2 linked regions of the Coturnix japonica genome follow. The protein of the gene in region 2 interacts with the protein of the main gene of each other region in a biochemical or structural test. Links are inferred from orthologs where the notes say so. Each region holds a gene or a part of one and is shown on either strand. Other genes may lie near its edges. The genes, in order: SYNJ1 and SH3GL2.

Region 1 (7,825 bases), on a different chromosome or scaffold from region 2:
TGGGAATCTGTTTCTTCTGATTGGCATGGCTAAAGATACAAAGCTAAGTGAAGGTGGAGAAAACTTTATATCCTAGAATTTGAAGTGTTTATACTGTACTAAATATTCAAATGTTACATTTCCTGCTAAATACCAGCTAAGAATACAGTCTTGGAAAGCAAAGCATTTAAGTTTTTGGAAATCAGAAGGAAAATCCTTTAAAACAGGGTGATCCACGTTGGAACACTAGTAATTTGGTTTTGGGGTCTGAGGCATGTAAACAGCTGTAGCAGCTTTGGATTAAGAGCTGTTTTCTTGGTGAACCCGACATTCCGGGGGGAATTATAGCAATAAATTGACATCCTGGAGAACATAAAGATTAATTGTATTTTAAGGTCATGTCGTGGTATAAATGAATATATTAAAAATGTACCATTTGTAAGATGCACACTTCATTTGGACACCGAACAATTGTTTTTCTGAACTGTTGAGATCGATGGAGTACATTCAGAATATCTGCTTTTAAAAATCGTTTCAATAAACTCGTCTGTCAAGGAGCTGCTGCAGTGCAACTTGATAAGCTTTGTTCCTTTAAGTGGTAAAGGAAAAAAATATGCATGCTATCTATTTTTGTCATCTCAAACTTTTGCTTTTTTTCTAATATAGCACATACAAGCCTGCAGTTAAGTTTTGAAGGTGTATAAGTGCAGTTTCAGTAGCTCAGGGCTCCAAACCTTGAGACAATTTTAAATGCTGTTAGTAAAAATGGAGGCATTTTGCTCCAGTTTGGATAATAATTGGGAGAATAAGGAAGAGGTCAAGAAAATTACTTCCTTCTAATCTCGTTATAAAATATAGCCACAGAAAACCTTTATAAGCAAAATAACCACTTGCCTTTCTGCCCTTCTTCAGCCATTGTTCTCAATCATTGATTCAAATTAAATGTAACAAAGCAGTTGCACTTCATGAAGTGGTCTTCAAAAACGTTATATATCTGCTGCTTGGTTGAGTGACTGCTTTAAAATCCAGTAGTTCAGCACACCTGCTTTAAAATTACTTCTCCCATGGTTGGCTTTGTGTTGTCTTAGCATTCACCATCAAAATCAATGCACATAATATATTCAAAGACTGATGTCCTGGAAGGTGATAAAATCCCATATGACATGGTAGTCTTAGTTATACTCAAAATTCTATGGGAACTCTTGAGATGTAGTAACCTCTTTAGGTAGTTAGCATCGTTTAGAAACAGGGAAGATGTATAACATTGCATGTAAAATTGGGGGACATTCTGAATTGTGATAAAAGGGAGGTTTGTTTACAAGGGGGTTCCTGCCTCATCGCAGACAGAGTCCTCACTAACGCCTACAACAATAAACACACTTAATAATCCAAGAGCCGACCACTTAAGTCTCTGCTCCAAACCATGAGGTAAGTTTGTTTTTCTTCATATATGTGACCTGTCCCATTGACTCCACTTTTGTGCTTCATGCACATATTTAAATGTCTAAGGTAGTCAGGCATTGGAATGCACTGCCCAGGGAGGTGGTGGAGTCACCGACCATGGGAGTGTTCAATAAACATGTGGATGTTGTGTTGATGAATATGGTTTAGCCGGGAAGTATTGGTAATGGTTGAACTATATGATCTTCTAGGTCTTTTCCAACCTTGATAATTCTGTAATTCTGTGATTCTGTTTTCATAACAGAAATGTATCATATAACAGATGTATCTCCAAGACTCAGTGTGATATTTTTCATACATATGTAAACCCATCTTTTCATAGCCTAAATTTCAACAAAGCTCTCGAGCACTGTCTTATTTTCTGCCTTAAGATTTTAGTGACACCTTGCCAAGTACCTCTGGCATTTCCTCTTGTTCAGCTCCACGCAGTCAGTGACTGCCCAGCCCTCCCATTTGTCAAGGTCTCTCTGTAAGACCTCCCTACCTTCAAGAGAGTCAGCTTAATGGGCAGGGGTACTACTTCACAGAATCACAGAATTGTAGGGGTTGGAAGGGACCTCTAGAGATCATCGAGTCCAACCCCCCTGCCAAAGCAGGCTCCCTACACCACGTCACACAGGTAGGCGTCCAGGCGGGTCTTGAATATCTCCAGAGAAGGAGACTCCACCACCTCCCTGGGCAGCCTGTTCCAGTGCTCCGTCACCCTCACTGTAAAGAAGTTCTTCCGCACATTCGTGCGGAACTTCCTATGCTGTACTTTCATCCCATTACCCCTAGTCCTGTCCCCACGCACTACTGAAAAGAGACCAGCCTCGCCACTATGGCTCCCACACCTCAGGTATTTATAAACCTGGATCAAGTCCCCTCTCAGCCTTCTTTTCTCAAGGCTAAACAGACCCAGTTCCCTAAGTCTCTCCTCATAGGGGAGATGCTCCAGGCCCTTCACCATCTTAGTGGCCCTCCGCTGGACTCTTTCCAAGAGATCCCTGTCTTTTTTGTACTGGGGAGCCCAGAACTGGACACAATATTCCAGATGAGGCAGAGCAGAGGGGGAGGAGAGGGGGAGGATCACCTCCTTCAACCTGCTGGATACTTGTCCCTAAGGGCTCGGCTCCAGCCCCGTCCTGACACACATCCCCCTCCTCACCGCCCCAAGGTAGCACGGCCATAACATCCACCATGGCTCCGCCGCCTCCCCGTGCCTTCCGGTGGCGGGCGGCGCAATGCGGAAGGGACGGAGGGGCCGGAGCGGAAGTGAGGTGCCGCCGGCTCCCGCGGCAGGGAGCGCAGCGGGCGGCAGCTGTGGCGGCCGGTGAGGAGCTGCGGGGCCGGTATTGGGGCGGGTCGGCGGCACCGCGGGCGGCTGTCGGTACGGGAGGAGCCCGCTCGGCTGTCGCCGTGGCGGGTGTCGGGCTGCGGGGGCGCCGCGGGCGCCAGACAAGATGGAGGCTCTGTCAGCGCCGCGGGCGCCGGGCAGGTGGAGGGGCGGGGGCTGCTCGACCGGTGCCGGCTCCTTGGCCGGCCGCTCCTGCCTGTGTCGTATGAGGGGGCGGAAGGTCGGTGCCGCTGTCAGCCCTCAGGTTACCGGCGTGGGGCTGCGGGAATGGAGCATGTTCGCTGCTTTCTAGCCGCTCCTCTATGCTCTGTGCATTCCTTCAGCCCCTGATATATCGGTGGGCTGCTGGTGTTTTGTGGTTTGGTATTGCTTTTTTTCATTGCTCCGAAGGAAGGTGTTACCTTTATGGCTTGTCAGCGGTCTCTCTCGTGCGGTGCTGCGATTTTCTAATCGTCAGCCGCTGCGAGGGAGGGCTTAAGTCCAGACGGAGCTCCGCGTTCGTTTATAAAGAGAAACCAAGCAGTAGGTTATCGTCTCTGTATGTTATTCCAAAGCCTCTTAGCAGCTTTACTGTTTGAAATGTAGTGTCCTTTTATACAAGGTCAGCATGAGCAAAAGGCATCGTAAAACTGAAGCTCCTGGCCCTCTGTGTTCAGCAGAAGGTTGCTGCTGCTCTAATGTGTTTGTGGCGACTAAAGGAGAACCTCATCTCCAGTTTCTCTGAGTCTGGTTTAGGTATTGCAAAAGAAATTCTGGTTGTTCTGGAGGAGATCTTAAATAAATCCTTTGTGCTGCTCTGGGCAATTATGTTTTTGCAATGCTGGCATGTTGTCTTTAAGCTATCTTTAGATATATTTGTTTTGAAACATAAAGTAAATCTCATGAACTAGAAAGAGTGAGCATCTCTTTTCTTCTTTTTCTCTTTTTTGTTGTTAGATCTGTAAAATTCTTAGGAAAGAATGGAAGTCAGACCTGTTCTGCAGAAGGTATCTGGAAGCACAGGAAGCTCTCACTAACATCATCTTGTGTTGGACAGGACTGCCAGCGATAAAGGCAAAATGGCTTTCAGTAAAGGATATCGTGTCTATCACAAGCTGGATCCGCTCCCGTTCAGCGTGATAGTGGAAGCCAGAAACAGAGAAGAATGTCTCATGTTTGAATCTGGAGCCGTGGCTGTCCTCTGTAAGTCACTATGTTTTGATAAATACAATGAAAAAACTGGCAACCTTGACGTTGTGGAAGCTGTTTTTATTTATGACAGATAAGGAAGAAGCAGCAATTCTGGTTTTTATTTGCTAATGGAGATCCTTTTGATTTAAATGGAAGAAATGTTTCGTATCTTTATCTGTTGGAAAGAGAATTTTACACATTTAATTAGATTTTCATCATGAATATGTATTGCCATGTATACAAAATATTCTTCCAATATCTGCCAGCGTCTGCTTATCTTTGGTTCTGAGCAATCGTCTGCCTTTGAGTACACAATGACTCATTAAAAAGCAAAATCTGTGGTGCACTTATTACAAAGTGCTGTATTCTTAAATGGTGCATCATCTTAGTTTGTTTATCTCACTTTGTATTATGACTTAGATGGGTTTTTTTTTTGTTTTTAAATCTATGTTGCACCTGTGTTTTTAACCTATCACCATACATTGTGTGTTAGATCATCTCATAATAAAGTCAGTCAATGTTTTGAGCAAGATGTCTTGTATTGCATAGTCATTTTTATGTGCTTTCAGTGCTAAATGCATCAAATGCTTGTGTTTTTTCAAGTCAGAGTCGAAGGAGGGCTCTAAAACAGGAAGTGCAGAAAAGATCCTTTAAACCTACAGACAGGGTCTAAAAATATACTTTGGTTTGTATTCTTCAGTACAAAGGCCTGAGCACCAGGTTGCCAAGAGTTCCTAGGCTTCTTCTGGGCAACCTGATCTAGTAAATGTGTATGTTTGGTGGCCCTGCCAGGCAGGGGGGTTGGAACTACATGACCCTTGAGGTCCCTTCCAACCCGGGTCATTCTGTGATTCTGTGATTCTTGAATCTTGTGGAAAGCTTGAGTACTGTGGATGTACTTCTTTTGAATGGATCAATTTTTGTTGAAAATTGGTGCCCAGTGTGAGGTTGTAATGCATTGCCTGCAGCCTTACAGGGCTCACAGGTGGGTTGTTGTCTCCCCGTAGGGTGCTCTGGCCCAGATAGGGTAGAGTGGGCTGAGCCGGCAACATGTTCCCTCCTACAGCAAGGCTGAAGGTTAGAAGTGGGAGTTCTGAAGTGGGATTGGAGATGCATTCCCTACCCTACCTTTGGTATCTGTAATTGTTTGTATGCCTGATGCACTCCTTAGCTGTGGCATTGCCTCTTTGTGAGGCACCTGGCTGACCCTGTATCCTGCAAGTTAAGTGCTTAGAAATCAGGCCATAGTTTGTGCTGAACCGGCTGTGTGAGCTAGTGCTCTCTTGCCTGTGTCTCAATCTGTACCTTAGTTAATGTGATATTTGGAGCTGCTATGATCCGATACAGGTCTAGCCATGGGACTTGCTAGCACAGTTGACATTACAAATGAAATTAACTCACAGTTATCAATGTCAAAAACTGTGAGTGCTTTCTTCCCATTTTTTGATATTTGTTTTTATCTGTTACAGTTTCTTCTTAATATTTGTGTAACTTATCTTGTTGACTTTGCCAGCAGTATTTGAAAGGCATTGTGTAGTGTGGTTTGTGATGGAAGTAAGTGTCTTATCATGAAGATAAAGAACATACTTAGTAAGAACAGTACAGCATGGGAATAATGTGAAGAATTATGGAAACATTTTATTTTAGTATATGTTCAGTAATCAGTGCACTTGTTTAAGGTACCTAAGCAGGAATGTATTCAAAGTAATTTATTCTTGGAAGTTATGCTCAGAAAGTCAAAGGAGTTAATGTTTTCTTGTGCTGTGATACAGTGCAGGTAGCTGAGTAGACTGTCTTCTCTAGAAATTCACTGTTTATATCTGTGTTGAAATTCTGCCCTCTCCTATGCCTTGCATTGTAATCAAACAGGAATTGAAACCCAGAAGAATTTCAGCAGCCTGGCTCTTCTTGGGTCCTGTACTTTGTAATAGCTTCTTCCTACTTTGTAAGAGCTGTCCTTGGTATTCTGATTGGTAGGTTGCAATACAGTAAATATTTATGCCTAGTTACAAGTAGTTACTCTAAATACTGCTTTCAGTAACTTAAGATTCTGAACTGCTTACTCTGATGGATGAGCTTATTTTCCCAATGTGTTATGCTGTGGCAGTTCATTCTAGTTTTTTTTGTTTGTTTGAGCCTAAATTCTTTACTGAATGATTCTTTTAATGGTTGTAAGACCACAGTCAACCTTGATTTGATAGCAGAAAGGTGCTGAACTTCCCTTGTTTAGATTATTTTCCTTCTATTCTGCTAGAGTTTGATGGTTTCTTTATGTAAGTGTATAAGATTTTATTAAATACTGAAGATTTGTTGTTTAGCCTTATGCCCTATGACAGCTCCTGCCTGGCTGTAGAATACATAGCATATGTACAACCCAGTGAAATACACTTAGAATTGAAAGTGATTGATGTGACTCAGTTCTGAGAACCTCAGTGAACCTCATCTTTTGGAGTATGCATGTGCAGTAATCAGGACTTGAACTGGGCTGAGATAAAGGAACTCAAGTTTACCGGTCCCTTAAATGTCATCTTAGCTGAAGTCCATCTGTCATTTTGCCGAGGGAAGGATAATGGTATTAACTTTCATCCCCTCTCCATTCAACAAAGCATTGCAAGATTAATTCAAAGAGTTTTGTTTGGCCTCTGTATGTAGTGCTCTACAATTCATATGCTGCTTGGTTTTACAGCGTGTGTTATTCATGAAGAAAGGAAGAGGGCAGAAGGGGGTAGTTCACAGGGGTTATTGTTGCATAATCATTCAGTCTTAAAATGGAAACAGTCCAAGCCTTGCCTCTGCTGGAAGTGGTCTGTGCACTGCTTGTAATGTGCATTAGTTAGCATGACCAAAAGCTCTGAGAAATACTTCTCTTGCCTTACATAAAAATACCCAGCACCTCTTTGATCAGCTCATGCCTAGTACCAGGTTAGCCCAGGATATTGAAGTCTGAAAGGATCCTGCCAGCCTGCTTCTCAAGGCCTTATAAGAGCATTTGGTTTTAAATGTCAGCAGCTCGACTGCTTCTTTGTTTAGCATTTACTTGGAGGATGTCACTGATCTGTTTTTTTTAATTATTTGGCATGTAAAATAGGCGGTCTATTTATTCTATGAAACAGGAGTCTTTAATGAGGTATCTTACCTGCAGAGATTTCATTGATTGAATGGGAGATTGTTCTCTCTCCTTGTGCCTCTCTGGTGAGTCACAATGAAAGGAGTGGGAAGCTGCTTTTACTCCTGTCGCCTGTGATGAGTAAAGAAGAATGTTCTGTCGTTTGGGAAAATCTGAGCCCTGAGCACGAAGAGATGGAGCTTTGTGCACATCGTTGGAGTTTGGTTTCATGCAAGGCTGAAAAGGGAGCAGGTAGAAACACAAGAAGAGGCACTGTATCCACCCTGAGCTTTTTGTTGAGCTAGATGGAGGAAGAACTGCAACAGCCTACACTTGCTGCGGGTGTCCCGGTACTATCACCCATTCACATTCCACTTCAAACACTATGATATGCTGCACTGGGAAGAGAAGTAGCAGATAGATTGTATCTATCCACAGTAGCAGACGGGGGTGTAAGCATTTTGCAAGAAGCTTTGGGTTGGTGATGGTTTAGGAAACTGAGCTACCCAGAAAAGAAACATAGTGACAGATATTTGAGCACCGCCTATGTGTGTACATAATCGTAATGGGCAGGATAACACAGCATCATGCCACTGTGTGATTTTTTTCTTTATCACCAAATAACGCTAGTGCAGCCTTATGAGTGGAACTGCATCCCCTTAAAATTAGGGAGGGAGACCATTTCAATAGAAATTTCTACATGCTGTTTTTCATAGAATCATAGGATGGCCTGGGTTGAAAAGTACCACAATGATCATCTGGTTTCAATCCCC
Region 2 (7,739 bases):
CGATGTTAATTCTGAAGTGGTCTTTTCAGAGATGTTAATGCTAGGAAAAGAGTAGATTCTGTTCCACCTGAAGGGGATCTCCCAGTACAGTGTAATTGCCATCTTGTTAATTAATCTTCAGGGTTTTTTTGTTTTGTTTTGTTTTGTTTTTTTTTCAGTCAAATCACTCTTGAGATGAGACTTAACTGAGTTTACCTCTTCCATCCACTTAACTAGGAAGGCCGAATTTATGTATCTTTTAAATTTTCTTTTCTTTTTTTTTTTTTGTTTTCTTTTGCTTTGTTTCTATCAGCACAAAGTAGATTGTATGTCCTTGAGATGAGGAAAGTAACATTTTTTAAAAGTTCACCAGTCTCCTACACATCCTTCAAGGAAACATGATGTAGGTTCCTCGTGTTTTTGAAGGGCTACTCCTAAAAGTTAGCCATGATTCCCTATGTTTGTATTCTATATGAAAGCCACACTTTGGTTGCAGATAGTTCTTTGCTGCTTTCTGTCACTTCTGTATATTTTGTTTCTGGTGCTACTGGATCTGCTGGTATTTATTTTCTCAGAGTATGTAGTCTGTAAACCTGATCCAGTTTTAACTCTTGAAGTTTCTTTGAGATTACAAGTGGATAGTCTACTTCTGGCTACAGTTTACAAGCCAATCTGCACTTTGAATGTAGGGGTCTTGACTCAGGTATTCTTACCTGCATGATATTAGAAAGTCATTCTGCATAAATTGCTAGAATTCTATCTATCCAAGAATCTGAAAAGGTTCTCTTTGCTAGAAATTATTGATTTCTTAATTTGAAGAGTTAATTGAAGTGAATGTTGCATAACATTTTTATCCTGAGAGTCAGGAAAACTGGTGATGTGTGTCTCTATGAAGCAAGTAGTCCCAATTACACATGAAAAAGTCTGCAGCAGAAGTCAATAGGTTCTCACACGGTCTCCTCATAAAATGACAAGTGTTGGCATTAAACTGCTGAATGATTAAGGGCTGACAGCAATAGCAGCAAAATAACTACTGTCAGTCAAGATACAAATCTATTAGAGGTATTCCCTAAGTATTGCTAGATCATATCACAAAGTTTTCTTTATTAGGAGCTCTTGTTATTGTTAAGAGGATCTTGGCCAAAATGCTAATTCAGGGAAAAGAAAAATGAGTAAATTAACGGCATAGTCACGTAAGGTGATAATTTAAATAAATGGGTTAAATAACAATTACTCAAAGTGCCAAAACTTGTTTAGAGTGGCTGATTAACAAAGATTAAGTTTTAGCCTTGGAAATGTTGTTTGGTGCATCTCATCTGTTCAAGGAAGTAAGCCTTGACATTTGACTAATTTCATGTTTTGACAGAATAAAAGAGGCATCATCTCAGCCTAAAAGAGAATACCAGCCCAAACCTCGTATGAGCCTGGATTTCACAACTGGTGGTGACAATACCCAGCACAATGGAGGAATATCCCATGCCACCACTCCAAAACCAGCAGGTAACAGCAGTAGCAGTGAGAGAAAATTTTTAAAAAGGCCAAATCTAGCAGAATTTTTCTACAGTGCAAACATTCTTCCTAGAGGGTAGTTCTTCCTTAGTAAGGAAAATGAGAATGAGGATAGTGCAGAAGAACTATTTGAACTGTTTGAATTAACTACATTGTTCTATTGAAGGACCTAGGCTGGTTGCAAAGCATAGTACAGAATTTTTCGTAAAACACTAATTTCTTCAGGCAGAAAAACATAGATGGATCATCCATTTTTGGGTCAAAAATGTCCTTAGTGCTAGAGCTATAAAGACTTGCTGCCATACTGAACTCCTCTTGAAATACAGATCATAGAACAGGCATTTAGAAAACTCAGAGATCGACTGCAGGTTTTCAATGAAATACAGAACTCTGCAACACTGAAAATCTCAGTAATCCCCAAACCCTACTTTTTAAAAAACAGGCATTATGGTACGTATGACTTGAAATTAAATATCACTAAAACCAGAAACAGCGGCAAATGAGGTATGATGTCTGTTCAATGGTGAGCAGCATAAACAAGGTGAAACATTTACATGACTGTACATCATTAGTATCTTCAAGATGTATTTTATTTCCTATCAGCATGTACTATGAAAGCTTTATCTTTTGTTCATCACAGTAACAGTCTGCTAATATGTATTATCATGACAGTTGTCCTCTTCCCAGACCCTGACCTCAACTATTCCAACTGACCTCAATGACAATGGCTTGCACACTCTATGTTGCAAGATTAAATGCTTTTCACTGGATCAGATTTTCTTCCTTCTCATAGTATCCCAGTGTGAATGTTTAAAATTCTCCCAGATATATGCGGCAACCTTATCTTTGTTTGGCAAGTGGAAATGGTCTTGTAAACTAGGAATTTTGTGATTATGCACACAAAGAATGGGGGTTAAATTGGGGATTCCTTGTGCACGAGTGTAGCTTCAGTCCTGTACAGTAAAAATCTCCATGTCACACCACCACAATTTCCTTCTTCACTCATATTTTTGTGGTGTTGTGAACACTTCTTTGTGATGAGATTGTACAAACTGATATTCCTGTCTCTCTCAGAGAGCAATATGTAACATTTTCGTCAGTAGGAGTTCTTTCTTTTGAGGGGCTCATTATTTTTACAGAAACATCTTCTTTTAAAATTCCTTAATGTAGATTTGTGTTAATTCATTCAAAGATTTCCTCTTTTCACTAAATCCTGCTCTACTGACATCTATAGAAAAGGAATATTCTTATCCTAAAATAGCTCAAGCATGGATCTTCTAGCTATGGGGAGCAGTTCAAATGAATATTTAAAAAGTCTGAATGTGAAATCAGTTCATCCTGGAACTGGTACATGTAAAAAAGCTGAAACAAACATATTCCCAGAATTGGCACGATTTAGATGCATGTGTCATTTCATTCTGACCAGTAGAAGTGCACAGACATTAACAACGGAAAATCAGATAGGGATATAAGTTTAATAAATGCTGATAAATCTTAAATATTTTGACTATGAACTGCTTTTGGTAGGCTTAACTCTATAGAATCTTTGGGGATTGAGGGAAGGATATGAGCACAAGGAGGAAATAATATTTCTAGATTTCATATGACCAATTAAAATCTAATCTAATAATTATAATAATACCCATTAACCATGCTAAATGATTTATGGTTAGATATTCATGAAATATCATATTAGAAAGATTTCCATTTCAGACTGTGCCAAAACAATTCTGATGCTGATCTAATCATCAGTTGTTTCATGGGAATAAGAAGGTTTTCTTTGGAAAGCTTGTACAAAAATTCATGAGGTCAGGAGCATATAGGACAGTTTACACAATAGTTGTACCAATGAAGATTTCAAATAAAGACACAGTTTTATTTTCATTGCTGTTTTAAGATATCATTTTGCTATTTCCTTGAGACACAGGCAAAGCATTTCTGTGCCAGTAAAACTGGAACTATGTTTGGGCTTTTGCTTCATTTTTTGTGTTTTGTAAACAGATAAAAATTAGATCCCAGACTGGTAGTAGTTATTCTTTTAAGTGTAGGCTTGAATGTAATTTAGATCTTTTAGTATTCTCAATTTCCAAAAGTTGCTAACTATCTTCTAATACAGTTTAGCTGCCTAGATTTAGATGCTGTCAGAGGACTGCCATCGCCATATGAAATACACGGGAAACAGCAAAATTTAAATGAAGTAAAAAGTTTAAAATGATAGCATAACTGCTGAGATTTTAAAATGTTATTTCTTTCTCTTTCTTATCCATAGGTGCTCACATGGATCAGCCATGCTGCCGAGCTCTGTATGACTTTGAACCAGAAAATGAAGGAGAGCTGGGATTTAAAGAGGGTGATATCATTACCCTCACTAACCAGATTGATGAAAACTGGTATGAAGGGATGCTTCATGGCCAGTCAGGATTCTTCCCCATCAATTATGTCGATATTCTAGTTCCTTTACCCAATTAAGATAGCTGATCCACCACCTCTGTTCCAGATAGTAATGTCAGTACCACTGCTTTCAAAATGCTGCTTCTTACACCTTACAAGTGCAAACTGCAGTGGTTAGAATCGTCAAGTCCCACTGAGCATCTTTGGTTTATGTGTTGTCATACTGCGTAGTGGTGATGCGTGGTATCTTCTGAGCCAACATAGTGTGGGTTAGACCACTTGGCCACACTGACCTCGTGGTAACCAGAGTACTGCTGAGATGATGTTGGGAAGATGATGGCAAGCCAAACAGGTGACTCATGGTGAAGTAGCAGGAAGTGAAGGTGGTACTGGGAAGATAATGCCTATCACCACTGTATTACTTTTCAGTCTTAGTTCTTTGTAAAAAGAGGGAAAAGTTCTTGCCATTCCATCTTTCCCTTCCTGATGATACAGTTCACATGAGTCTAACCATGACTAACAAGAATTGTATCTTCTGACCAAAATGGCTTGCTATTCTCACAGAGACGGTATAAATATAGACGCTCTGGTTTCTCAGAAAGCGAACCACTGTACTGCGTGCCCTTCTGGTCTCTGCTCATTTTTGTATTTTTGATTGTTATTAAAAGACCTATTTCCATCTGTAGGTAAACTTCGAACCATAAAAAGGGGATTCCTATAGTAAAGAGCTTGAACCACAAACTACATGAATTTGCCCTTCATAAACTTTGAGCATGCTCAATAAAATGCCGGTAGAAGGGCAAGATGGGGGATAAAACTGTTATTAGTGTTAACTGTTTGTTGTCAAGTTTTGGCACAAAATCATGCTGCTTAAGCACCAGATAGTCTTTTTAAACTCATTCACTGTGGAGGAAAACCAACCAAAATACTATCTTCCCTGCTTTTATTTCTGTCTACCATGTGTTCTTCGAACATCATTTGTGTGTATTCTGCCCTCAATGAGGACTAAATAAAACTTATTTCTTTTTGTGTTGAGCAATTAAAGACATGTGGCTGTATATGCAAAAACATTTCCCCATATGTTTAGTTCACTCTTTTTTTTTCCTCCTTACTGCACTTGGTGTGTACAGTGCTGTGCCTAGCTTCTCAGCCTTCTTTCAGATGCAAAAGTTCTGTTAGTTTAGTAATCCAGAGTTCTATTTATGTAAACTATAGAGACTCTCTTTCAGAAGTTTAATGTGCTGCTTTGAACGTGCCACTTCAGTACTGGATGATGTGAAATGATGACAATTCCCTACTGCTTAATATATAAACTGTATCATGGAATATTGATATTTCAAATAAATGCTGAGAGAATAACTGGAATAATTTTGTGAATTATTATTTTATTCTTTAAAAATCTCTTGTGCTTAACTTTGACTAACAAGAATTTTGTTTTGGAAAATGTGTTTCTCAAGCCTGACTTGAAAATGTGAAAAAAAAAAAGATTTTTATATTGTTGCATGGCTTCTCTGAATTGAAACCCATATATGTAAAATGATCTTCATAAATAGGGTAGGCTGAACATCAAGCACATAAAGTTAATGTCATTATGACCAGCATGCAGTCTTGTGGAGACAGGATAGTTCCTGTTCAAGTATGCTGTGTTTCGAAAAAAAAAACACCAAGTAATGCTTAGACATACTTGTAATAGTATTTTGAGGGTTTTATATTAGAGTTACATAGGGTTTATATTCTTTGTTGTACAGATATGATCATGGGTTAGCCTTGACAAAGAACCAGGCACCTACCCAACGGCTTGCTCTTGGTCTCTTCTCAGTGGGTAGGGAGGAAAAATGGGAAGAGAAAGCTTGTGAGCCAAGATAAATACAGGGAGGTAATTTGCTTGTTACCATCACTGACAAAGTGACTATATGGGGTTTATGTGCCAAGGTTTTGGTAGCAGGGGAGCTGCAGTGGTGACTTCTGTGAGAAGAGTCCAGAAACTGCCCTATATTAGATAAAAGCCAGTTCCAGCTGTCTAGAAAACTCACTGCTAGACAGTGAGAGACACATCTGTGCTTCTGGGAGAGCATATATAAGAAATGGAGAAAAATGCTCTGCAGCAGCAGCAACTTTGTGGAGGATGGGGAAACATGTTATGGAGCAGTGCTGAAGCAGTATTTGGATTGTTGCAGCCTGTGGGAAGCCCATGTGAGATCAGTTTGGGAAGCACAGCATCCTATGGTGGAAGTCCACATGCCACAGCGCCAGAGTGACCATGGAGGAGCAGCAGAGATGTAGTGTTCTGTTCTGACTGCAGCTCCCATTGCCAGTTCCACCTGTACTTCACTGGGGAAGGAGGTAGAATAGGATGAATGGGGGGACATTTTTTTTTATATTTCTTTTAGTTCTCACTTCTCTATGTTATCAGTAATAGGTAATAAATTACATTAGTCTCCCTATACTTAGTCTGTTTTACCCATAACAGTAATTGTTGAGTGATCTCCCTGTCCTTATCTTGACCCTTGAGCCCTTTTCCATTTTATTTTTTCTCTTTCTTTTTGCTCATTGAGAATGAGAGAGCAGTGTGGTGGAGTTTAGCTGGTAATATTCCTTTTAGACATGACAGCATGACAGCATTACTTGACATTTCCCTTTGTTGAAACCTGTTAATTTTCTATTGGCCAGTTTCTCCAGCCTGTATAGGCCCTTCTAGCTGGATGCAGAGTCCTTTGGTATATTAGCCACTCTTCACCACATTTTATCACCAGTGAAGTTGTAGAGGTTGCGCTCTGCCTAATTGCCCAGACCACTAGGGAAGATGTTGAACATGCTTGGACCTAATTTTGACTGCTGAAGTATATCACTTCTGGCTGGCCTTCTACTGGTCTTTGTGCCATTGATTCACAATGGGGTAGATTCAGTCATTCAGCTAGTTTTCACATCCACATATATTAACAGCTTACCCATGAGGATGCTAAATTGCAGACACTGTATGACTGAGAATGGTTAGAAAATAATAAATTACATGTATATCTGTAGCACTTGTCTATATATGTATAGCTGAATGTACTCTGCAGAAGTGCTTTATAGCGGGTTTCTTAAATATTACATCTGACATCTATTTCTTAAATTTTACATCTGACATCTATTTTCATGATAGTTTTTTGGAAAAAAAAAATCATAGAAACAAAGAAAAAAACAGATTTGGAGAGTTATCTAGGAGGCTAGTCCAACCTTCTGCTTTGAAGATGTTTGATTAGTTCATACAGGGCCATGCACAATGAAGTCCTGAACATATCAAAGTTGTAGCTGTGGATTCTCCAAACTTTTTTTTTCCTGCTACAGATAGACAGAACATTTTTATTATCTACTGAAATTAATGAATTCACAGAACTCTAACTGCTATATGCTATGCATCAAAATATTCGTATGTTCACAGGCCTTTATTGCTTGCTTCCAAAGTTTAGTGAGATGAAGACTAGTAATGGCTCTGTGCAATGGTTAGAGGTAAAGTGCTTGACAACATGAAGTACTTGAAGGACAATGAGGTATTTAATGGTGGAAATGACAATACTCAAATTGCATGGTCACACTGAGTTAATTGCATTAGGAAAATTCCACAAATGCTTAGGCTAGATTTCAAGGATTTAATACCTGTTTTAAGTGCCTGTATATTAACTTTGGTTTCTCAAAGTGCTCATTGAGTTTCCACTTAACCTGATGGTGATAACAGGTTTTGTTTGTAAAGTTCCTCAAGTGCCTGAATTTCTTACCCAGAAACCTTGAGAAAACCCAGCTCTTTGCAACTGACAAGCAACATGGCAATATCACAGTACTGCAAGCAGAATTCAGTCCAACTTACAGCCTTATTTTTA

The links.
Region 1: the proteins of SH3GL2 (region 2) and SYNJ1 form a complex in vitro, tested with the Homo sapiens proteins (2 studies listed by BioGRID and IntAct, with this or other methods). The link is inferred for Coturnix japonica from reciprocal best matches to the Homo sapiens genes SH3GL2 and SYNJ1.

The regions. Positions count from the first base shown.
Region 1 is NC_029516.1:94,510,352-94,518,176, reverse strand, and holds the start of SYNJ1 (synaptojanin-1), read left to right. Parts: upstream 1-2,658; 5' UTR 2,659-2,663; coding exon 2,664-2,752; intron 2,753-3,812; coding exon 3,813-3,958; intron 3,959-7,825. UniProt on the Homo sapiens protein: Phosphatase that acts on various phosphoinositides, including phosphatidylinositol 4-phosphate, phosphatidylinositol (4,5)-bisphosphate and phosphatidylinositol (3,4,5)-trisphosphate. Has a role in clathrin-mediated endocytosis.
Region 2 is NC_029547.1:29,793,640-29,801,378, forward strand, and holds the end of SH3GL2 (endophilin-A1), read left to right. Parts: intron 1-1,345; coding exon 1,346-1,479; intron 1,480-3,757; coding exon 3,758-3,957; 3' UTR 3,958-5,247; downstream 5,248-7,739. UniProt on the Homo sapiens protein: Implicated in synaptic vesicle endocytosis. May recruit other proteins to membranes with high curvature. Required for BDNF-dependent dendrite outgrowth.